2 linked regions of the Struthio camelus genome follow. The protein of the gene in region 2 interacts with the protein of the main gene of each other region in a pairwise test. Links are inferred from orthologs where the notes say so. Each region holds a gene or a part of one and is shown on either strand. Other genes may lie near its edges. The genes, in order: PEX26 and PEX6.

Region 1 (11,058 bases), on a different chromosome or scaffold from region 2:
CAAATGATAGGGAAACCCTTAAGAGTAAAAAAAAAGCAACAACTTCTGTTGTTTAGTACATTCATATTTCTAGATTTTAGGCAGAATCTAGACAATACGGAATACAATTAAAAAAAATAAATCTATTGCCTTACCACCGTGCTCCTAAGAAATTTTGGGCATCAGGCAAGCACAAAGTGCAGTAGTTTGCATTTAGGAAGAGTAGGTGCAGGACAACAGTCTTTGTGTCCCATCGCCTTCATTTTCAAAATCAAAAATGCCCATATGAGGAGGCATCAGTCCAGAGAAATCATGACTTTCAAAAGGCAACAGGCTCCATTTTCTGTTTTATTTCCACATGTGTGTCCTAAATCCCATGCTGCAGGAACTGGGCTTTTCCGATGTCTTCAGACAAAACAGTATATTCCCCTAATTACCTGGTACTCTGCTGTCTTTTACAGTCCTGCCTCCAGGAACGCTACTTCCCTCGTTCAGAGAGCTGCCCAGCATTTACAAGGATGAGGCCTTCTTCCAAAGCATCTCAGTGAGCCTGGCTCACAACTGGCCACCCACTCTCACTGAGGAGGTATATCCAAAGCAAACTATTTGGAAAGGATTCTCACTCAGTTGCAGGTTAGGGGAGTAACTTTAACCAAGTATTTGACAGAATGATGCTGCAGAGCTAAGCAAAGTGTGTGCGGGTGGGGAATACATGGCATGGTTTCAAAATTCATACAACACAGTTCCCCGTCTGAAGAAAGGAAGATGTCATCACATGGGAGCTCACAGGTGGCCATCTCAATTGGGACACTGATCTCAACAGTCCTTGAAGAGCCTAAGGATGTCCTCAATACAAGCTGATACTTTTGCAGCAGCAGAAAAAAATATGCTTTCTGTGGGGGAAGCCACTTAGTCTTGAACTGGAGGCCTGCGGATTGGAGAAAGTACAGCTGCCCAAGCCTGTCGGAAGAGCTGGACCAGTCTATAAAGAAACGGCAGTGACGTGGGAGAAGCTGCAGAACAAAACAAAAACCAAAAGAGCCTTTCATTTTAAGAGCGAAAACTAAGATACGCTAAACATACTAAGAAAAGACTGATCCCAACCAGCAATAACGGAAGCGTAGGTGTTTTATTTCTTCCCGTTTGGTTCAGTTCTCAGGCCTTAACCTAGGCCACTGCTCCCATCCCTAGCATGCTTTCTTCAGTATTTTCCAATAGACTATTCGTGGAACAGCAACAGAGCACCTACCACCCAGTAGAAGGGGCGTCTCCAGATAGAGGGGGGACACACATCCCCCCTGCTCGCCAGAAGCCGTCCACATCACAGGACCAGCCCATTCTTCAGCGACAGAGGCAACCATTACTAGTGAGAGACCAGCATAAGCAAAACCAACGCTTGAATACGTCACTGGCCTGGGCAACTCTGTACTTTCCTGGCAGCACAGCCCCAGGAGGCAATCACTCTTCCAGAAGGCATTCACCTTGTAGCACCTCAAGCTAACTGGGGCAGAGGCTGGGTCTAGGACAGCTCAGTCAGTCTCTAACAGTTTGCACCTTGTCTGTTAGAAAAAGCTGAAGATGGGATAACTGTTTACAGACATCTGCTTTTGTTGAGTTACATGTTTCTACACGGACTCCAGGTGGAAAAACTAGAAACAAGCCTAAAAAATAAATTCCTAGCCACCCGGTTCTTTTATGTTCTTTAGATCTTTTATGCCCCAAAGACAACACAATTACATAGACCATATCTATCAAAAGCAACTCTTAATTTATTCTCTGTAGCCGTAGTGGATTAAAAAAAATAAAAGCTCTAAATTCTGTACCTGGGTCTAATCTCACCACCACCAGATATAGCATAAAAGCAGCCAAGAGAATCTTTTTGTAAGGAATTAAATAGAAGTGGCTTGACATGGACCTCAGTGCTCTCCGGAGCAATGTCAACATGGTCAAGAGCTTTTGGGACAGAGCACCTAGAAACAAGAATAAAAAGGCTGTTAGGGCAAAATAAAGTGGGAAAAAAAATCACTTAGAAGAGTCAGTAGTGGTGCCATCCATCTCACCTAACTGTAGACACATCTTAGTTTGATCGCATGCGTCTCTTTTATAGGGAACAGAGAGAAATTACACAATTTTAGGATACAATTCATTGGATCTTTTTTAGGTATCTGCTTTAGGACGATATGAACTTATACCACAGCAGTGCAAACATCTCTGCTGGTAGATAACTCCAGGTGATTTACAGTTCTGGCAGATAAGTAGTACTTTAAATGCCATGGCTTGCTCTACATGGGCTTAACTATTAATGGAGAAAAAGCAAAAAGTACACAGATCCAACAACACATACCCTTAAAGGATGCACTTGCTAGTTTTAGTTGCCTGTTTGTACTGTAATACATTTATTCTGAAATGTTTTAGAAGCTTGAAAATAATTCCCATCTTCTGACACTGGTGGAGACTAAATCCCCTTTGTAATTATCAGCACATGGATCAGCAAGTCTTCCACTGCCTTCCGGGATATAGTCCAGTCCTTCTGTGACTTCCTCATGGCTGGTATGTCCTGACATTATTATTAATATACAGTTACTACTTGCTACCCTTTGTTAGTAAGGGATCTAACAATGCTGGTTAGGTACTACTACAGACCCGTTAGAGCCATAGGTGAAAGGCCTTACCATACCCAGCCATTTGAAATGACGCTGCTAACTCATTTACAGAAACATTCCATAAGGTGGTCAACTTGTCATCTCACTGGTAAAAGGAAACCACCACTACACAGCCAGACTTAAGAAAGGAGAGAGGAAAATTTTCCTAAGCCATTCTTCTGAATCCAGTGCTGCACAACAAAGCAAGGCGTGAAAACTGTTTCCATGCTGTGTCCACAGAGGATGGACTACCCACAACGCAACAGCCATCAACAACCAGGCTAAAAACTAAGCAGAATCACACTCGAGAGTGCAGAACAAATCTTCAAAACTCTTTGAGGATTTACAGGCAATACCCCAACAATTCTGAGGCATCAAACTACAGCTGCTCTACTTCAGACAGTAGCAGAGGGCTACAACAAACAAACAACCTATAAGCAGCTTTTGTTTTTTGAACTTGTTTCCCTTCTTGTTGTCCCAGTGGCACTTTGCTGTCTGTACCCACTGCAAAGTCCTGAGTGCTTGAGGAAGCTGTCTCACTGATGATAGGTCTAGGGCACATGTTGAAGTTCTGGGATGGGCTATCATAGATTATAAAGAAGGGAACAGACAGTCCGCAGATAACAGAAAGAGAACACGGATGTATACGATTTACATTACAATCTAACTTGAACCATTTTGATAATATTTAAGATAGCCAGATCTCTAAAACTTTGAAGGAAAAAAAAACGAAGGAGCACAAACAATGGAGGGAAAGCCTACCCAAAACTGTCTCTCTTGTGGTGTCTTGCTGCTCTTCAGCAGCTGAGCGCATCTCTTCCTGTTGAGTCCACTGACATTGGCTTTCACAAATGATCTTGAGAAGTGCTAGCTGCTGCTCACTGTCAAAAACATCACAGCCCCGCACAAGCTCTTCTGCCCCCTCAAACTGGCCAAGGGGAAGCAAAACACGCAACAGATAGAGCTCCAGCAACGAACCATACTCAGGGAGGCTCCTATTGGTTACGTCTCTCAGCCAGCTACTGCCAACCTCCAGCATCACCTGGGGCTCTCTCACTTTGCTATATAACAGGATGCTAGAACACAACAAAGACAAATATTAGAAGACACAACATCTTTTTAAATTGAGATGAACTGACAGTTACTACTCACAAGCAGCTATCATCAAGGCTTATGTCAAGGTCTACACTCCAGGTAGAGGAAGAGATTTCTGAGACAGGTGGTAGGTACAACCACTGATGTTACTCTCAGAATGACCCCTTTTGTTCCTTATCACCCTAAAGCAGTCTGCTGGCCTGCAGGCATACTCAGGCACACATAAGTCCAGTTGCTCCCAAAGGCTGCCTCTCAGCAGGCTCAGGGTGGCTAGCACCATGCCTAACGCTAGCGTATGCGTTCAGAGAGCAAAATGATCTGCAACAGAAACTAATTCAGCTTTTTTTTTTTTTTAATTATTTCTCTTTTCAAGAACATGCTTGTCCCAGGTTCCACTTTCATCCCGGTTTACAGCATACAAAGTGAAAATGCAGTCTGGCCTGTTATTAAACCTAGTCCTGTGTACCTGGCAGTCGCATGGAGAAACTCACCACAGCTCCAGGATTTTTGGAGGCAGATGCTCAGGGACGTGATAATACTGTAGGACCCAAGAGAGAACTTCCCGCCACCGGTTCATCTCCGCCAGGGCCTGAATCCCCACAACACAGAGGGAGCATTTCACTTCTGCAGAGCTGAAAAGGAAGACAGACAAACCTCCGCAGCTCCCTAAGCGGCCTGAAACTCCACGAGCCCCTAAACCAGCCCTGAGCCCCCAGCCCTGCCGGCTCGTACCTCCCGGCCTCGGCCTCGGCCCCAGCCCCAGCACCGGCCCCAGCGGCAGGGCCCAGGCTGTCGCAGCCGGCCTCGCACCGCTCCAGGGCGGCGGCGAAGTCGCGGTGCAGCACCAGCAGGTCCGTCGCCTCCTCCAGCAGCGAGGCCGCCTGGGCCGACACGGGCGGCCAGGCGAGGGGCTCGCTGCGCAGCAGCAGCTCCGCCGCCGGCTCCCTCCTCATGGTGGTAGCGGCGGGGCTACCGCCTCGCTCGGCCCCGGCGAAGGGGCGCCCCTCACCGGCGCCCAACGCCACCAGAGACGCCCCCACCGCCGCCCCCTCACGGCTGCGGAGGCACCGCCCCGGCCGCCATCTTCTCGCCCCGCGGCGCCACGGGAGCTGTAGTCACCGGCTGCCTGAGGCGACCGGACCCGGCAGCGCGGGGCTCTTCGGAGCGCTGGTGCCCCCGGCGGCCCGAGGGGTCCGTCGCGCCGCGGAGCGGCGGCTCTGTAGGACGGGAACCGCCATGGGAGAGGCGGCAGGCAGAGAGCGCGGGGCGGGGGGGACCTTTGCGTGGACTATTCGGTTACAAACGGGCTCCCTGCCAGCCAGCTAAGAGCCCCGGGAGCCTGCGAAGAAGCTGCCGTGAAAGGTCGCGAACACGTTATGCCGTTGCGGGGGGGGGGCGGCGGGCCGCGGCCGGGGGGCAAGGCGGAGAGGGAGGGGCAGCTGGAGGCCTGTGTAATTTTGACAAGAACAGGACTTAGCCCCACGCTCGCGTCCTCGGCTTGCCTTCCCGGAGCTTCCGGCTATTTTGTGAAGCCGGGTTTGCGTCGTGGTAAAAGGGGGAGTGAAGTTTGCGGGCACGCTTAGAGAGCGAGCCGGGGAGGTGTGCGGGCGACGGGACGCGCTGGCCGCCAGGTGGCGCTTGCGGTGCCTTTTTTTTCCACCCCCTCCGCTTCTTTTTTCTCCCCGTGGTAGCAAGAAATCCCAAGTGTTCCTTCAGCAGCAGCCTGAAAGACACAGGCTGCCCGAAGGAGGCTCCTCAGTCACACAAAGCTGCACGCGCACGAGACAGAAAAACGTCCCTCTTAAGGTAGGGAAGCGCATCTGTCTTTGCCTCGGTGATAAGGTATCCAGAGGCTTGTGCCTCCGCTGGGCTTTGCTTAATAATCGAAACCTTTAATTTCTCGCCCTCGTGCCTGCCAGCGGAGAACAACTAAACCCAAGTCAAAATTTTCCACCTCAGCTGCCCCCACTAGCAGGAGGGTCAAAGAGCCTGGCGAAGGTCGCGGCTTTTCTTCTCCCCGACCGCGAGGTGTCGCCCAAACCACAAGCGCTTTTGCTTGCTAAATGGAAGGCTTTAAGGTGCAGAAGAGCTAGGCAATAAAGTTGCGGTCCTGTGGTTTTCTTCACTATAAACAGCCAGCAGAAGAAGATTTTTCTGAGTGAATAACGAAGGGAGAGTGCTCCCCTTACAGCCTAACGCATGGCTGCTTTCGACGCAGGTCTTTGCCAGCAGTTTGCTGTGCCAGGCGAACGCAGGCCTTGGTCTCCTTATGGCACGTTTCCTGGCAATCTTTGCTTCGGCCATCACCTTACTGAAAACCACGTGTCCAGGGTTTGGCGCATGCTAAACTGTTAAATGAGCTGGAGTTTGGGCTTAAGAACAAGCTCCTCCACTGTACCCCCAGTGCCAGGCATGCAATAATATAAAATGTTTCACATTCTTATTTAACTGATATTTCAAAACAATAGGGTGTCTTGGTTACAAAATAATGATTTCACCATGTGAAAACTCTCTTCAGAAATGAATCTCTACAGGAGAGGTAGAACTTAGCATACTGTTTTGTAACCCTGACTGCTACTATAACTATTTAATGAAAAATCAAAGATCCTAATGCAAAGCATATGTTAAAGTGTCAAGTACAGGTTTTAAAAGGAAACTTCTGTGCTGTTTCAGTGTGGAGGAAAGTGTGGGGAGTATGATGACAAATTTGCTCATAACTCTCTTATAAACAGTTGTTTACAGGTGGCAGAATCAAACCCCTCTTCATTGTAACAGGAGGAACACTCTGTAATAGCAGCGTTCACAAGCCAATGCGTTAGAGTTTGTATGTTGTGTTACTGACTGCAGAAGGAGATTCCAGAAAGATTCAGCTTGGTTAAGCCAAAACCACAGAACAAAAATATTGTAAAAGGAAGGGCTGAGCAGCTAAGCAAGCTAGGAGATAAAACACTTTTCAGACTTCTGTTACTGTTGCTTGGTACTTGCAATCTGGAAAACAACATTCCTTTTTGGGAACTACAAGTCCCAAAGTGCACTGTGGGAAGAGTATGCGTTGTACCAGCTAGTGCCCAGCACAAATTCCCAAATATGGATAAGGAATCAATTTTGAAAAAGACTAACAGTCACTGAATATTCCCCACTGAGAATCAGAAAAGGAGTGAGACAGCATGGAATGAGGTAAGTTTGTAATATGCAAAGATATTCAACAATGTCTTTTGAGGAGAGCAGCCCAAAATATTCTATTCCTTAGAAGGACAGTTCAGTGGTGTAGTGGTGATGCTGGAATTGCTCGCTGTGATGATGAATGTGGTTTTTTGAAAATGAGGATTGTTGTTTCAGGTGGGGAAGTAAGCAGTGGGAGCAGCTGTGCTGCAAAATGAGTCAGATCCTGTTTTCTTGCAGGTGCTCTTTATTAATAAAGAACTACAGACAGATATGTGAGCTGCAACAATAATGCAGTTGTGTTAGAGGTACAGAAAAGGCAGAGAGAATGGGAGCTCTTCTAAACAGAAGATCTGAGTGAGCTGCAGTCTGGCTGTTTAAGAAGCTAATAGGGAACAGGCAGCCTTGTAATAACAACTATGGGTAAAATTAATTTCTCTGTAAAGCATGGTAGAATGTTTTTGTACTTCACCCCTTATCCTAGAGGGGACAGTGTGGTGCCTTGAAGGCCAAACCTCTCACAGTTCTCTAACCGGCAAATAACAGCCACTCAGTAATTCAGTTAAACCGTTGTTTAAGATCAGGTTAGGAGCAATTACTTATTTCATTGGCAATTTGTTAACAAGCAAAGTGGAAAATCTTCTGAGGTCAAATAGAATTGTCTTAGTGGAGACCAGAGACAACCTAACGGCAAATTCAGATCTGTAACGTCTTAGTGGTCGACTTTGGCAGGGACAGAATTGGCTCCTGCCTCCCTCTCTCGTCCCTACAGTCAGACGTCTCTCTCATGCATCTGAGATGCAGTGTGTGGCCGCTCAGTGACGTCAAGTGCAGCTGGTCAGCCTGATCTGTCATCCCAGCAACCTACTTCTACTATGTAGGGTCATGGAGCAGGAGGGTAGGCATGGCACAGTACTGCAAATGTGGGAGATACAGTCCAGCTGTGGAGAGAAGTGAGAGGCAGTTTGGGCTGGTGAACTAAACTGTCACGTGGACACTCTTTGCAGGATAAGAATGATGCTATTTTTCCATCTTTCCTTAAATGTAAACAGTATAAATTGTTTTTAAACTTGGAAGAGTCACTCTTGTATGTGACTATAGCCAACACGCAGGGCTATACCACTATAAATATATTGGAGGAAATCAACATGTTTGGCTGTGCTTCTGCTTCCTGGAGAGCAGTTTCTAGTAATGAGAAAAGGTAAATTCAAGAAAACTTACTCTTAGGAACAAGTAGTAAGAGGGAGCATCACAATGCATTGTGTCGTGGGGGGAGGGGGGGTGTTGATGCCTGGCTCCTTGACTCTCATCTGAAATCTAAGGTTTTTCTTTTTGCTGCCATCTTGATTTTCTATAGGAAAAGAAATGAAATGAGTTGCAGAGGGACCTTCTTTATGTTTTCACCAGCTGTGAATTCACATTCTCCTCCTCCCACTGCTGTGAAGCAGTTCAAGGAGAGTTAGGGATACAGTCACCTGTAACAGGGCCTCCTGAGGTAAATCGCCTCAAGTATTAATCCAGATCTGACTAGCGTGGGGTCACAGGGCCAGAGAGCTGGCAATCAGTCTTTTCTGTGGTCTCTTCTGTGTCAGTAGGCTGTTAATATGAGATTAGCAGCATTAGGGAGACTTTGAGCTAGAAACAGTGGGGCTCTATGGTCTGATTTTAAGAGAAAGAAACCCACTTACACCTAAATAAAAATGAATAGAAGATCTGGAAATATAAAAGGCATTATAAACACAGTTGAACAAAGTAAGGTCTGTAGGAAAGCTGTGGGGTTTTAAAGATGAAGTTGCTTATAAACTATGATGTACTATAATAAAGCAATGACGTCCACAGAGACTGCAGATCTCAACAAGCAGCACTCCCTCTTCATCACCATGTGCTTTTGTTTGGGTCTGGCTAGGCCATTAGACACTGGAACTTGTAATTTGCTTATGTTTCCTATGAGCAATACATCCCGATTAAATATGAAGATAGGTGGCTCAGTTCCCTTCCATTAACTCAAATTCAGGGCTCCCTCTAGCTTCTGTCAGGCTAGCATTAGAGCCCTCAGTTGTGTAAAGGTGAGCACTTTCTGGTTATGCATCTAACAGATGGTCAAGTCTGAAGTCTTCTTTATTTTACTTAAGATAGAATCAAACAAATATTTTATTGTTTTTTTTTAAATAAGACTAGTAAGGGGTGCCTCACCTGATTTTGAGACCACCTGCTAATGTTCCTAGTTACTGCTTTTTAAAGCACTCTCCTCTTAACTTTGGCTGCATGAAAACCCATATAAACAACAGATGAGGATGGCAGAGAGAAGACGGTAAAGATAACTACAGGGGTAGTCATTAGCTACAATCCAACTAGGTGCGAATATATCCTGTGACATTAAAGTCTGAGCAAATCCCTGTTTTAATCTTCATCTTAAAAACACGCTGTGTGAGGTACAAACACCGGACACTGGAAAATTGGAGAAACAGAGGTATTTGCACAACTTGTAGAGCTGGAATTTTACTAATATAATAGCAAAAGCTTTTCGAAAAGAAGGGTGATTTTAAGTTGATCGTGCCTCGTTCTTTGCTCTATATCAAACAAAATACCAAAATACCAAACCTGGCATCCAAGCATGCAAAGAATAAACATTGTTACTTTTTATTTGATTGTTACCAGTTATAATAGTAATAATTAGGGCTGGGTGGGGCATTTCATAGCTTTAAGGTGACCAATTTGGTTAAAGGCCTAAGGCGGCTTCTTTTCTGCAACCAGTTATTATCTGTGAGGAAAATACTAAAGGCTGTCATCACTATAGGTCAATTAAATCTTCTTTGCCCAGCACTGCATCTCTTTGCTCTACTGATTCAGAGTTGCTTCCCCTTCTGACTGTTAATATCTTTTCTTAAAGCCCCACCTGCCGAAATCTATTGTCACCCATTAATCTCTGCACTTCTATTTCAAAAGTGGACATCATGCTCCCATAGCTGGGAGAGATGTTTGCCAACGTGAATCATGAAAGTACTGATACCATAAGGCAAATGGGAAGAGAAAACATTATTTTCTCAAATCACATTCTTTTTACCCTAGCCTAACAGCTTTTCAGTACTTCTTGTTTCAGTGTTTGTCGAACACCTATCCCTCATTTTGAATTCAAGCTTAGCATGATCTTCTGTTAATTTTAACTGCAAACATCCAAATGTTTCATGTTCTGCATTTTGAACTGGGAATTATAGATAATGTTACATAAGTTAAAGCAGCAAACTCTTTTGTCTCTCATGCTGCTGCTCGTGGTTCTTATTTGACTTGATCTTGTGATGCTCATAAAAGTCTTAATTAAAGATTGTTTTAGAAAAACCAGCAGTGCTGTAGAGTTGCTAGGTAACAGTGTCTAGCGCTCTGGAGAGGATCAGCTAGGAAGGGATCGTTCAATGATGCAGCCTGTATGTCTTGTATTTCGCCAGGTTAAGTGTATTGCTGTGCCCATTCAGCGGGAGGACTGCAGCAGGCGGAACTTCACTGCTTGCTGTTTTGCTCACAAACTCGATTTAGTAATTAAGAATTTGTTACTTTTTTATGAATTTGCCTCTGAATTTTTTAATGTAGTTGGTGAAAATGCAATCTCTCGTTTTGTGAAGGATTTCTGCCCTGGTTTTGAAGATCCATATGCTATTTTAGAATCTTTTTGGATTGAGAGGTATGATTATAGTTTGCCTAAAATTAATATCTAGAGCAGTTTATTACTTTCCATTTCTCCTACAAATTAATTTTCCCTTTCTCTCTGTGCCTTTCTTACTTGCTGGTTGTTCTTGTCTTTCTTGGAAGTGTCATAGCAATACTAGATGCAGACAAACATAGGATTAGGTGTCTAATAAGTTTATGTAGCCTTGAGCATACTTGTTTACTTCTCAGCACTGGGGGAAGGGCAGCGCACAAGAAATCTAACTGTTGCCTGTCCTTGAGTTTTCAACTCAGAAGTCTGAGCCAGGACTGTCTGAAAAGACAGGTCCTAATTGTCTAGGTACGTTGTTGTTCCAGCTGCTTGTTGACAAAGGAAGTTGAAAACTCAGTTTGTGTTACCAAATCTGAAATGATTTCTCACTTAGGGTTAGTTCCAAAAATATTCATTTCCAAAAAATGACTCAGTATGGACAGCCTGAAAAAACTTGCTTGAAATACTATGAAAAAGCTATTAAGCTGT
Region 2 (10,849 bases):
CCCTGAAACGCAACTGCATATAGCAGCATCTGCAGAGTACATCAGACTGACAGCAATAATAGCAAGAGTTACTAGAGAAAGATAAAAATGCAACCTCTGGACCAAGAAATCTCTAAATTGTTGATTCCTGAGCACCGGAGGGAACAGGCCGGAGGAAGCCTCACTCCATGCTCCCTGTTCTTATCATCTCTTCCTAAGCATCTGTCACTGGCCAGCCCCAGCACAGGGCAGTGGGCTAGATGGACCTTTGGGCTGATCCGAACAGTTGCCCTCAGGTTATATCCACCAGAAGTCACAATCTGTGCCAGAGCGAGCTGCAAAGCTCAGCACACTTGGACTCCTTTTATTTGCATGCATGCATGGGAATGACTTCTGAGGAGGCTCATGTCATGGGTGCAGGGTGTTTGAATTTGCTTCCCATAGCTGTATGCGGTAAATCCACCAGTCACTTGACCCTAGGAGGAGTTACCTTGAAGAGGTGAAGGTTAAGGCAGCTACACACAACTCTGACAGCCATCAGCTTCCCACTGCCGCTTGGCCCCGAGAGGAGAACGCTGCCTGCCCCATTCAGCGCGGTTGCCCTGCAACACAGAGGCAGGTCTCTCAGCAACTGTGGAGCAGGGGCCCAGCTCTCCTGAGGCCGGCTAGAAGGAATTTAAACTCACCAACTGTTCAGGTGAGGCTGAAGGGCACCACACAGCTGCTTCACAACATCGGAAAGTCCAGCAGGAGACAAACTGCTCCAGAACTCATGGCTGCCATAGGCTGGGGAAGATGGGACAGCACTGTTGGTTGAACCCACCTGTGAGGAAGGAACGTAACATGCTGCAGAACATCAGTGGAGAAAAGACAGCTGCCAAGTGACAAAGGGTGTCCCAAAACACCCCTTTGGAACTGCAGGAGACATAAGCCTCCTCAGGCACCTTTGCCATCACTACGGCACCACTTCAGCCTCACATCTCCTGTACGCCCGCCCTGCTCTCCACTGACGTCTTACCAGATACAGAGAGGTGTTCTGGGTGTCCACCAGGCAACCCTCAGACTGCTCGCCTTCCACCACGCCTAAAATCTTCCTCACTTTGAGGTAAAGCTCTGGCCATCTAAAGGAAGAGCAAGCAGTCTAAATTATTGACTCAAGACCTGGACAGCAGGAATACTCCTTTCACCACCAGAAGCCAGCTGAAAGGCACAGGTAAGCACAGACGCTCTTGCTCTCTGTCAAAACCCGCCATGGATCCTTCACGGATCCCATAGTGCTGGCTAGGGAGACCAACTTGACTGTCAACAGTTACAGCTTCTGCTGGTGGCTTTAGCTCACAAGTACTGCTGTCCCAATCTTCCCATTCTGCCTGCTTTGCCTAAGAGCTCACACACCCCCTCTTCTGCCATCGGTTCCTTCACTGCGACTGCGCAGAGTTTGGCCTGCAGCACATAAAACCTCGTACTGCAAAGTCCTCCGAGCTGCAGAACAGAACTCACCCACATATCACGATAGCCTTACTAGCATCCAGCCCTGGATACCTGGCTGGGAAAATGCTTCTTCCTCCACCAATATCCCACAGGACAGATTGTTAAAGGACCTGCAGAGGTGCCCTCCGTTCCCCGAGCATCCTACTTGCACACCAAAACCATTCGAAGCTCTCTAGGCCCCATTAGCTCTGCTATCTTCTTTGGCCTGCCATATGGCAGATATATAAGCGCACAGATGGAAGACTTGTGCCTCCTGTGATCCTGCCTCCTTCAGAAAAACAGCCTAGAGAATACTTGTTACGGTAGCATTCTGAAATCCTTAAATTTTTAAAATAAGCAGTGGAGCTGAACAGTGTTAAAACACATAGCTGCTATATCCTGCACGAACAATTTAAGGCAGATATTCACATCGCACTCTTCAGTTACCTGTGGCAGTTCCCTCAGTGACAAAATTGAAGCATTTATACTATCACCAGCAAAGCCCTGCTGCGAGCACCCTACTCTGATACAAAAGTAATTTTCCTCATTTAGTGCAGAACTGCTTCAAAGCCATACGAGCTAAACCAGGGAAGGCAGAACTGGTGGCTGAACTGAAAGTTATTCTAACGCAAAGGGTTTATACGCACACTTTAGTGTTGGTCCCACATAAACAACCCAACTTCCACCTCGGTTTATGTGGCACTAGCTGTCCTCAGGCCGTCCTTTTCACTCTTCGTTCTTTTTTCCCCATCAGCGCCTGTCTCTCTCTCTCTCTCTCTCTCTCTCTCTTTTCCTTTCTTCCCTCTGTGACTATTTGAGCTGAGCTAAGGTATAGCTGCAACCTTCCATAATCCAATAAAAACTTTTCCCACCAAAATAAAAGAAGAGGCAGACTAACTCTGACCTCCAGGGACAGACGAGAAGGGAACCCACTGCCCTGTTACAAGTAGGTCAATCATGGAAAAGCACCTTTTCTCTTTTAATATCCATGTAGCAGAGCCAAGGTTTATTGCCACCCACCTAAGGAATTTGTCTGAATTTGCTTCTAGAAACTCAGCGCATCCGAATGTCGGAACACATACGATGTCTCCCTCCTGGACAAGCCTAAAAAAAAAAAAAAGAGAGAGAGAGAGAGAGTTTCACCAATGAGAAACAGTAAATCCTTCTACCCACCACACCACACAGGTTTTCACAAAGAAGAGCGTAGCTATTCACAGTGTTTTGTTCCTTTTCCTGTATTCCAACATTATAAATAGCTACACAAACATCTAGCACGTCCCAGATGAGAGTAGGTGCATAAGGACTACGAAGGGGAACGTTATTACCTTCTGGGAAGAATCTGCCAGTGATATAGAAGATCAATGCTATTAAAGAGCATCGCCTCTCTATGCCTAGAACAGCCGAGTGCAATTCTGAAGCAGCTCGGGGGCAAGTCGTAAGAGAAGACCTCCTCTGCGCAGCCAGCTTGCCAATCATTCAACTGCACGCAAAGTTGAATGCCAGGATACGAACACACCCCAGGATGGAGGTCTGTGGGCAGTATTTGGGAGCCCTCAATGCCGGAGGGTAAGTCACAGGGAGGGAGGCTCGAGGATGACTCGTGAAGGACAGGACAAGAGATGCTGCAGGCAAGTCAAGCTCATGCGAGCTCAGGAGGAGAAGATGGTGCAGGTGGATATTGTGAAACTGTTCACCACGCGCATTAAGTTGTTGGTTACATATATGCTCAATGTCCACTGGATCCAGATGCCACAAATATACCACGAGAGCGCATCTCGGTTGGACTCAACCAATAACACGAACGGGAACGCACGCGCACGCCTTACTGGGGTGTTTCGAAGTGCTTGTAGAGAATACGGTCATAGACTCCTCTGGCGCTGTAGGCTGGCGAGCAGACGATCTCCACGTGCAGCTCCTTGGCAAAGGGCGGCACAGCCAGCAAGGAGTGGCTCCCCTTCCCTTCCGCGACGCCGGCCTCTGCTTCGTACCTCTGCGGAGCAGACCACACCGAAGCGGGAGACGTCAGGGGCGGCTTTCCACCACGAGGCCCCGCACCGTCTCCTCCCTCCATCACGAGCCCCCAACAGCACATCCCCAGGGCCTAGTGGCTGCGACGGGGCACGGGACATGCCGTGGGGCCACCGGCAGCCCCCTTCTCCTGGAGCAGCCGCAGGGAGGCCCAGGGGTCCCCACCACCCGCAATGGGGCACGGGCAGCACCGTGGGGCAGCCCCCTCCCCCAGAGCCGCCGCAGGGAGGCCCAGGGGTCCCCACCACCCGCAATGGGGCACGGGCAGCACCGTGGGGCAGCCCCCCTCCCCCAGAGCCGCCGCAGGGAGGCCCAGGGGTCCCCACCACCCGCAATGGGGCACGGGCAGCACCGTGGGGCAGCCCCCCTCCCCCAGAGCCGCCGCAGGGAGGCCCAGGGGTCCCCACCACCCACAATGGGGCACGGGCAGCACCGTGGGGCAGCCCCTCTCCCCCAGAGCCGCCGCAGGGAGGCCCAGGGGTCCCCACCACCCACAATGGGGCACGGGCAGCACCGTGGGGCAGCCCCCTCCCCCAGAGCCGCCGCAGGGAGGCCCAGGGGTCCCCACCACCCGCAATGGGGCACGGGCAGCACCGTGGGGCAGCCCCCTCCCCCAGAGCCGCCGCAGGGAGGCCCAGGGGTCCCCACCACCCGCAATGGGGCACGGGCAGCACTGTGGGGCAGCCCCCTCCCCCAGAGCCGCCGCAGGGAGGCCCAGGGGTCCCCACCACCCGCAATGGGGCACGGGCAGCACCGTGGGGCAGCCCCCCTCCCCCAGAGCCGCCGCAGGGAGGCCCAGGGGTCCCCACCACCCGCAATGGGGCACATGGAGCACCGTGGGGCAGCCCCCTCCCCCAGAGCCGCCGCAGGGAGGCCCAGGGGTCCCCACCACCCGCAATGGGGCACGGGCAGCACCGTGGGGCAGCCCCCCTCCCCCAGAGCCGCCGCAGGGAGGCCCAGGGGTCCCCACCACCCGCAATGGGGCACGGGCAGCACCGTGGGGCAGCCCCCCTCCCCCAGAGCCGCCGCAGGGAGGCCCAGGGGTCCCCACCACCCGCAATGGGGCACGGGCAGCACCGTGGGGCAGCCCCTCTCCCCCAGAGCCGCCGCAGGGAGGCCCAGGGGTCCCCACCAGCCGCAATGGGGCCGCGGGGCGGCCGGCAGCCCCCTTCGCGCCCGGCCGCGGGGCTCACCCGGAGGCAGAGGAGGGTGGCGGCGGCGGCGGGGTCGCAGCCCAGGTTGAAGGCCAGGGCGGGGGTCAGCAGGGCGCCGTCGAGGGGGGCAGCGGCGGCGGGGTAGCCCCAGGGCGGGGGGCAGAGGCGCAGGGCCGCCAGGTGCTGCCGGCCGGCCCCGACCCCGGCCCGCACCCGCACCCACTCGCCCTGGAAGAGCCCCAGCGCCAGCAGCCCCCGCCGGCTCACCCGCACCTCGGCCCCCCCCCCGCCGCCGCGGGCCGCCCGCAGCCGCAGCGCCCCCCCCGCCCCCCCCGCGAACCGCGACACCAGCGGCGGGGGGGGCGGCGCCGCGGGGCAGCGCCAGGGGGCGCCGTCACCGCCGGGCGGGGGGGGGGCGCGGGCCAGGCGGGTGCCGCCGCCCAGCAGCCCCTGCAGCGCCGGCCGCGCCTCCAGCACCGGCGGCCCGGCCGCCCCCGCCCCCGCCGCCCGGCCGCCCCCGCCGCCCAGCAGCACCCAGGCCAGCGGCGGCGGGCGGCGCACCGGCCACACGGCCACCCGCCGCCCGGCCGCCAGCCCCAGCCGCCGCCGCAGCGCCGCCCGCAGCCACAGCGCCGCCCCGCCGCCGCCGCCGCCGCCGCCGCCGCCGCCGCCGCCGCCGCCGACCTCCTCCAGCAGCGCGGCGCCCAGCAGCACGGCCTGCGCCCCGCCGCGCCCCGCCGGCCGCACGGCCAGCACCACCCCGCCGCCCTCGCCCTCGCCGCGCAGCGCCGCGCACAGCGGCCCCGGCGCCACCAGCAGCGCCGCCACCGGCGCCGCCTCGGCCGGCGGCAGCGCGTCCAGCGGCCGCACCACCGCCACCGCCATGCCGCCGCCGGCCGCCGCAGCGCGCACTGCGCAGGCGCGGCCCCGCCCGACCATCGAGCGCCGGCGCGGAGCGGCCCCGCCCCGGCGCGGAGCCATAGAGAGGGAGCGCTCCCCGCCACAAACCGGCCGGCCCTCGGCCCGCCGCGCCGCCCCGGCCTCGCCCGGCCTCGCCCGGCCTCGCCCGGCCTCGCCCGGCGCTCGCGGAGGAGCCGGAGCCGGAGCCGGAGCCGGAGCCGGAGCCGGAGCCGGAGGAAGAGCCTGCTGCCAGCGCCTGCTGCCGGCGCCGAACCGGCCCTCCGCGAGGAGCGGCCTGCGGGAAGCCGAACCCCGTCGGATCCTCCCTCGCCCTGCAGCCGGGCGGGATCTGATGGACGGGGATCCCGGGATCTGTTGGGATACGGGCCAGGAGCTGATGGACGGGGATCCCGGGATCTGTTGGGATCCGGGCCGGGATCTGATGGACGGGGATCCCGGGATCTGTTGGGATCCGGGCCGGGATCTGATGGACGGGGATCCTGGGATCTGTTGAGTGTGGATCCCGGGATCTGATGGGATCCGGGCCGGGAGCTGTTGAGTGGGGATCCCGGGATCTGATGGGATCCGGGCCAGGATCTAATGGACGGGGATCCCGGGATCTGATGGGATCCAGGCCGGGATTTGATGGATGGGGATCCCAGGATCTGTTGAGTGGGGATCCCGGGATCTGTTGGGATCCAGGCCGGGATCTGATGGACGGGGATCCCGGGATCTGTTGAGTGGGGATCCCAGGATCTGATGGGATCCGGGCCAGGATCTGGTGGACGGGGATCTCGGGATCTGTTGAGTGTAGATCCTGGGATCATGGGATCCTGGATGTGATCTGAGTGGGGATCCCAGGATCTGATGGGATCTTGGCTGGGATCTGATGGGTGGAATTCCAGGATCCTGGCTGGGATCTGTTGAGTGAGGATCCTGGGATCCTGGCTGGGATCTGATGGGTGGAGATCCTGGGATCCCACAATCGTGGCTGAGATCTGTTGAATGGGGATCCGAGGGCCCTGGGATCCTGGCTGGGATCTGATGGGTGGAGATCCTGGGATCCTGGGATTGTGGCCAGGATCTGTTGAGTGGGGATCCTAGGATCCCGAGATCGTGGCTGGGATCTGCTGGGTGGGGATCCTGGGATCCTATCTGGGATCTGTTTGGGTTGGGATCCTGGGATCTATTGGGTGGGGACCCTGGGATCCTGGCCAGGATCTGTTGGGTGGGGACCCTGGGATTGTGTCCAGGATCTATTGGGCTGGGATCAGAGGATCGTGGCTGGGAACTGCTGGGCGGGGATCCCAGGATCCTGACTGGGATCTGCTGAGCAGGGATCCTGTGATAGTGGCCAGGATCTGCTGGATCAGGATCCCGGGATCGTGGCTGGGATCTGCTCGATGGGGATCCCAGGATCCTGGCCAGGATCTGCTGGGCAGGGATCCTGGGGTTGTGTCCAGGATCTCCTGGATCAGGATCCTGGGATCATGGACGGGATCTGCTGGCTGGGGATCCTGGGATTGTGGCTGGGATCTGCTGGCTGGGGATCCTGGGATTGTGGCTGGGATCTGCTGGGCAAGGATCCTGAGACTGTGGCCAGGATCTCTTGGATCAGGATCCCCAGATCGTGGCCCGGATCTGCTGGGTGGGGACCATGTGATTGTGGCCAGGATCTCCTCGATCATGATCCTGGGATTGTGGCTGGGATCTCTTCGGTGGGAATGCCAGGATTGTGGCCAGGATCTGCTGGATGGGGATCCCGGGATCCTGACCGGGATCTGCTGGGAAAGGGTCCCGGTATTGTGGCCGGAATCTCCTGGATCAGGATCCCGGGATCCTGGCCGGGATCTGCTGCGTGGGGATCCTGGGATTGTGGCCGGGATCTGCTGGGTGGGGATCCTGGGATCGTGGCTGGAATCTACTGGACAGGGATCCCAGGATCCTGGATAGGATCTGTTGGGTCAGGATCCTGGGATCTGCTGGACGGGGACCCTGGGATCTTGGCTGGGATCTATTGGGCTGGGACCCGAGGATCCTGGCCAGGATCTGCTGGGTGGGGATCCCAGGATCCTGGCCAGGATCTGCTGGATCAGGATCCCCAGATCCTGGCCGGGATCTGCTGGGCGGGGGTGGACAAGGCGGGGGTGAGAGCCCGGACAGCCCGCGCCTGGGCCGGGCCGGCCCGGCGCGAGGGAGCGCTTGCAGGGCCTTAAGGGGCGGTGGCGGCGGGCGGCCGGTCTGCGGGCCCGGGCAGCAGCCCCGCAGGGGCCGCCCAGCCGAAGCGCGCGTTACCGGCGAGCGGGGCCAGCCGGCAGCGCCGCCCCGGGCCCGTGCCTGGCAGCCAGCGGCCGCCCGCTCCTGGCGAAGCCGAGAAACAAGCCAACGTGGTCCCGTTTTAGCCCCGCTCCGCGTCCCTTGGTCCGCGGCCGGCTGGGCAGCTGGCGCGAGTCCCTGCCTGGGGCAGAGGCGGTTCGGGGGCGGCGCGCGCTGCAGTGACCTCGGGGCAGCAGGCTGGCAGCCTGCCCCGCGAGTCCCCTCCTGCAGCCGGGGGTGAGAGCGGGAAGGCCGCCAGGCTGGGCTGCCCCGGGCCGGGGAAGGCGCCCCGGCGTTTGCCGTTGCTGCGCTCTGCCCCCGGAGCGACGCGGTGAGCCAGGCCAGCCGCGCGCGGGCAGGGCAAAAAGGGGAAAAAAAAAAGCTGCCAGACACCAGTGCCAGCACGGCACAACCCACATAACGGGTTTGCAAATGCTGCTCAGGCAGGATTAGGCCTCCAACGTGCTAAATCTCGGCTCTTGCAGCGCGTAATTGCTGCTGCAATAAGCCCTGGCTCATCCTTTCCTGAACCGTGCTGCCCGCGCAGCCCCGCCGTACGGTTTTCTGCCGCGCCGGCTGCGTTTGCCGTGCGCCCGTTTCCCTGAGAGGTGGCGGGGCGGCGGAGGGGGGGGATGCACGCACAGCATGAAAACCGAAGCTACACCACAGCTTTATTTATGGGGGCGTAATAAATAAGCGATGGACAAAACAGGCAGAGCCACGTTCAGAAGAAAAAAAACCAGAACCAGACAGACAGAGGCTAAAGTGCTTTCGGACAGAAGTCAGACCGCCGAGGAACGGCGGGGGCGTTGCGCTCTCACAGACGTTCCCGGAACGGTCTCCTGCGTCGACCCACACATCGTGCGCTTGTTCCGGGGTACTACGGCTTGGTTTTCGGAAAGGCCGCTCTGTTGGCGTGCCCGGTACGGCAGGCGACGTTCAAGCGCGTGCGAAGGTGGTTGCGTAAATAAGAGCGCCTCCGTCCCTCGGCCCGACCGCGACGCAGCGTAAACGCGGTGGCGAGGCTGCGGCGGCACGTCAGCTGGCGGCGGCCGGAGGACGTGCCGGAGCCCTCGGGGCGGGAGAGGCGCGCGGGCGCTGCCGGCGATGGACGGGCCCCCGCGCGCAGCCCCGGGCGAAGGGAAGCTCTGCCCAAGAGGCCGTCCGTGCTGCCCACAGCACGGTCCTGGTTTCCCACCGCTTTTGGCCAGCTTCGGACGCCTCTCTGCTCTGCTGAGAGGCGAGCAGCTGAGAAGCGGGGGGGCGGAGGGGAGGGTTCAGTTTTACAATGCCCTGAATTCAGATAGAAGTTCAATTATCTGAGGAGGAAAAAAATATATACATATAGCAATAAATATTCTTAGGATCGCAGGGGGCTGGCCGGGCAGCCCGAGCTCAGCGGTCCCTGTCCTCCTGCTCCGCGGCGGGGTCCCCGCTGACGCACCGGCCCAGCGCGCTTCTCTTCCCGCGCCCGGCCGTCCTGGAGAGGTCGATGGCCGCGTCCCCCGAATCGATCACGGGGCCCAGCTGGTCAGAGCCCCTCTGCGCGCTGGCCGGCTCCCCTCCGCGGTCCTCCTCGGTCCGCTCCTCTCGCCAGCCGTCCGCCGGCTTCTCCCGGCTCTCCGCCTTCCTGCTCGCCTCCACGGACTTTCTGTGCATGCCTTGCCGAGGGGAAAGAGCAGAGCAGAGGGCGCGCGTTGCCCGCCCGCGGCCCCAGCCGGAGGGGAACCTCGCGCTGGCTCTGGCTCGCGCCCCTGCTGCCTGCTCTCCGCCAGAGGAGGCCGCTCCGCAGCGGGACCCGTGGGCACCTGCCGCTCGCGGGCGGCGGGAAAGGCTCGCCGGGAGAGGGCTGCTGCGAAGGGCCCGGGCTTCCCGGGCCGCCCCGTTGGAGCGGGTCAGGTAGCCCCCGACACGGCGCGAGCGCGGGGCCGTGCCCGGCCGCGGGGAAGCGGTCCCCCTTCCCCAGCTCCTCTTCAGAGGGAGGGAGCGAAAGGGCCAAGCTACGCCGCAGCCTGCTCAAAGCTCGTGGCTGAGGCCCTGCTCCGTCCTGGGAGAGGGCGGGCGCGCGTGGCCAGGCACGAGAGGTGACCGCTAGCTCGCTGGGCGCCGTGGCCGGCCCCGTCCCCCCGCCGCACCGTGCTCCAGCTCACCCAGCAGCCACGGGGCGCAGGATCCCACCAGCCCGCTCTTGGCGGAGTTGATGATCGACTCGGGCAGAGGGATGGAGTGTCTCACCATGGCCCCGTAGAGGCCGTACTCGGCCATCACGCTGCTCCGGCCCCAGCGCTTCTCCCTCTTCCGCCACTTGGCTCTTCGGTTCTGAAACCAAACCTTCAGGGGTAACAGCCAGGAGAGCGCGGAGGGGTGGGAGAGGGGAGGAGACGGCACCCGCGGCCAGCCGGCGGGGCCCGTTGCGCGCGGGGCAGCGCGCGGCCAGGGCCGAGGGACCGCCGAGAGGTGGTGTCGGGGGGGATGCGGGGAGGGCACGCACGTGGGTGTGAGCCAGAGGGGAGAGGAGGAGGGGGGGGGAGAGGGAGCACACGTTACACCAGGCGTCCCCAGCCAACGTCGCCAAGAGGAGCCCGTGGGCTCCGCCTGCCCGCCGGGCGGCCGCACGAAGCCACCTTCGTCTCCAGGAGAAGGGGTCCGCGGGGCAGGTGCTGGCGGAGGGTGCCGGTGCTCCTCTCCCCCCCAGCCCCCCCGCTGCCTTCCTGCGGGGCAGGTGCAACCCAACCGCTGCCCCATCCTCAGCCAAGCCAGCGAGCCGCCCCGTGTCCCTCAGAGGAGGCGTGAGCCACCCAAGGTGAGACGGCTTGGCCCAGCGGCGCCGCGGCCGGGCCGCCTGCCCCCACCGGGGGTACGGGGGCCGGAGGAGCGCCGTGCCCCTGGTTGGGGGTCTCCTAGCGCAGCCCGGGAGCGTGTCGGGGGGGGGGGAAGGTGGGCATCCAGCTCGAGGTCCCGCGCGGCCACCTACCTGTATCCTGTCCTCCGGCAGCTCCGTC

What was found.
Region 1: the proteins of PEX6 (region 2) and PEX26 come close enough for resonance energy transfer, tested with the Homo sapiens proteins (2 studies listed by BioGRID). The link is inferred for Struthio camelus from reciprocal best matches to the Homo sapiens genes PEX6 and PEX26.

What each region holds. Positions count from the first base shown.
Region 1 is NC_090942.1:70,907,048-70,918,105, reverse strand, and holds the start of PEX26 (peroxisome assembly protein 26), read right to left. Parts: upstream 4,815-11,058; 5' UTR 4,670-4,814; coding exon 4,449-4,669; intron 4,349-4,448; coding exon 4,208-4,348; intron 3,698-4,207; coding exon 3,384-3,697; intron 1,950-3,383; coding exon 1,803-1,949; intron 993-1,802; coding exon 889-992; 3' UTR 1-888. UniProt on the Homo sapiens protein: Peroxisomal docking factor that anchors PEX1 and PEX6 to peroxisome membranes. PEX26 is therefore required for the formation of the PEX1-PEX6 AAA ATPase complex, a complex that mediates the extraction of the PEX5 receptor from peroxisomal membrane.
Region 2 is NC_090944.1:147,791,912-147,802,760, forward strand, and holds the start of PEX6 (peroxisome biogenesis factor 6), read right to left. Parts: upstream 5,517-10,849; coding exon 4,671-5,516; intron 3,440-4,670; coding exon 3,276-3,439; intron 2,554-3,275; coding exon 2,470-2,553; intron 1,101-2,469; coding exon 998-1,100; intron 803-997; coding exon 666-802; intron 582-665; coding exon 470-581; intron 1-469. Other genes in the region: VSX1 (visual system homeobox 1), read right to left, coding at 9,243-9,508, 9,998-10,178, 10,822-10,849. UniProt on the Homo sapiens protein: Component of the PEX1-PEX6 AAA ATPase complex, a protein dislocase complex that mediates the ATP-dependent extraction of the PEX5 receptor from peroxisomal membranes, an essential step for PEX5 recycling.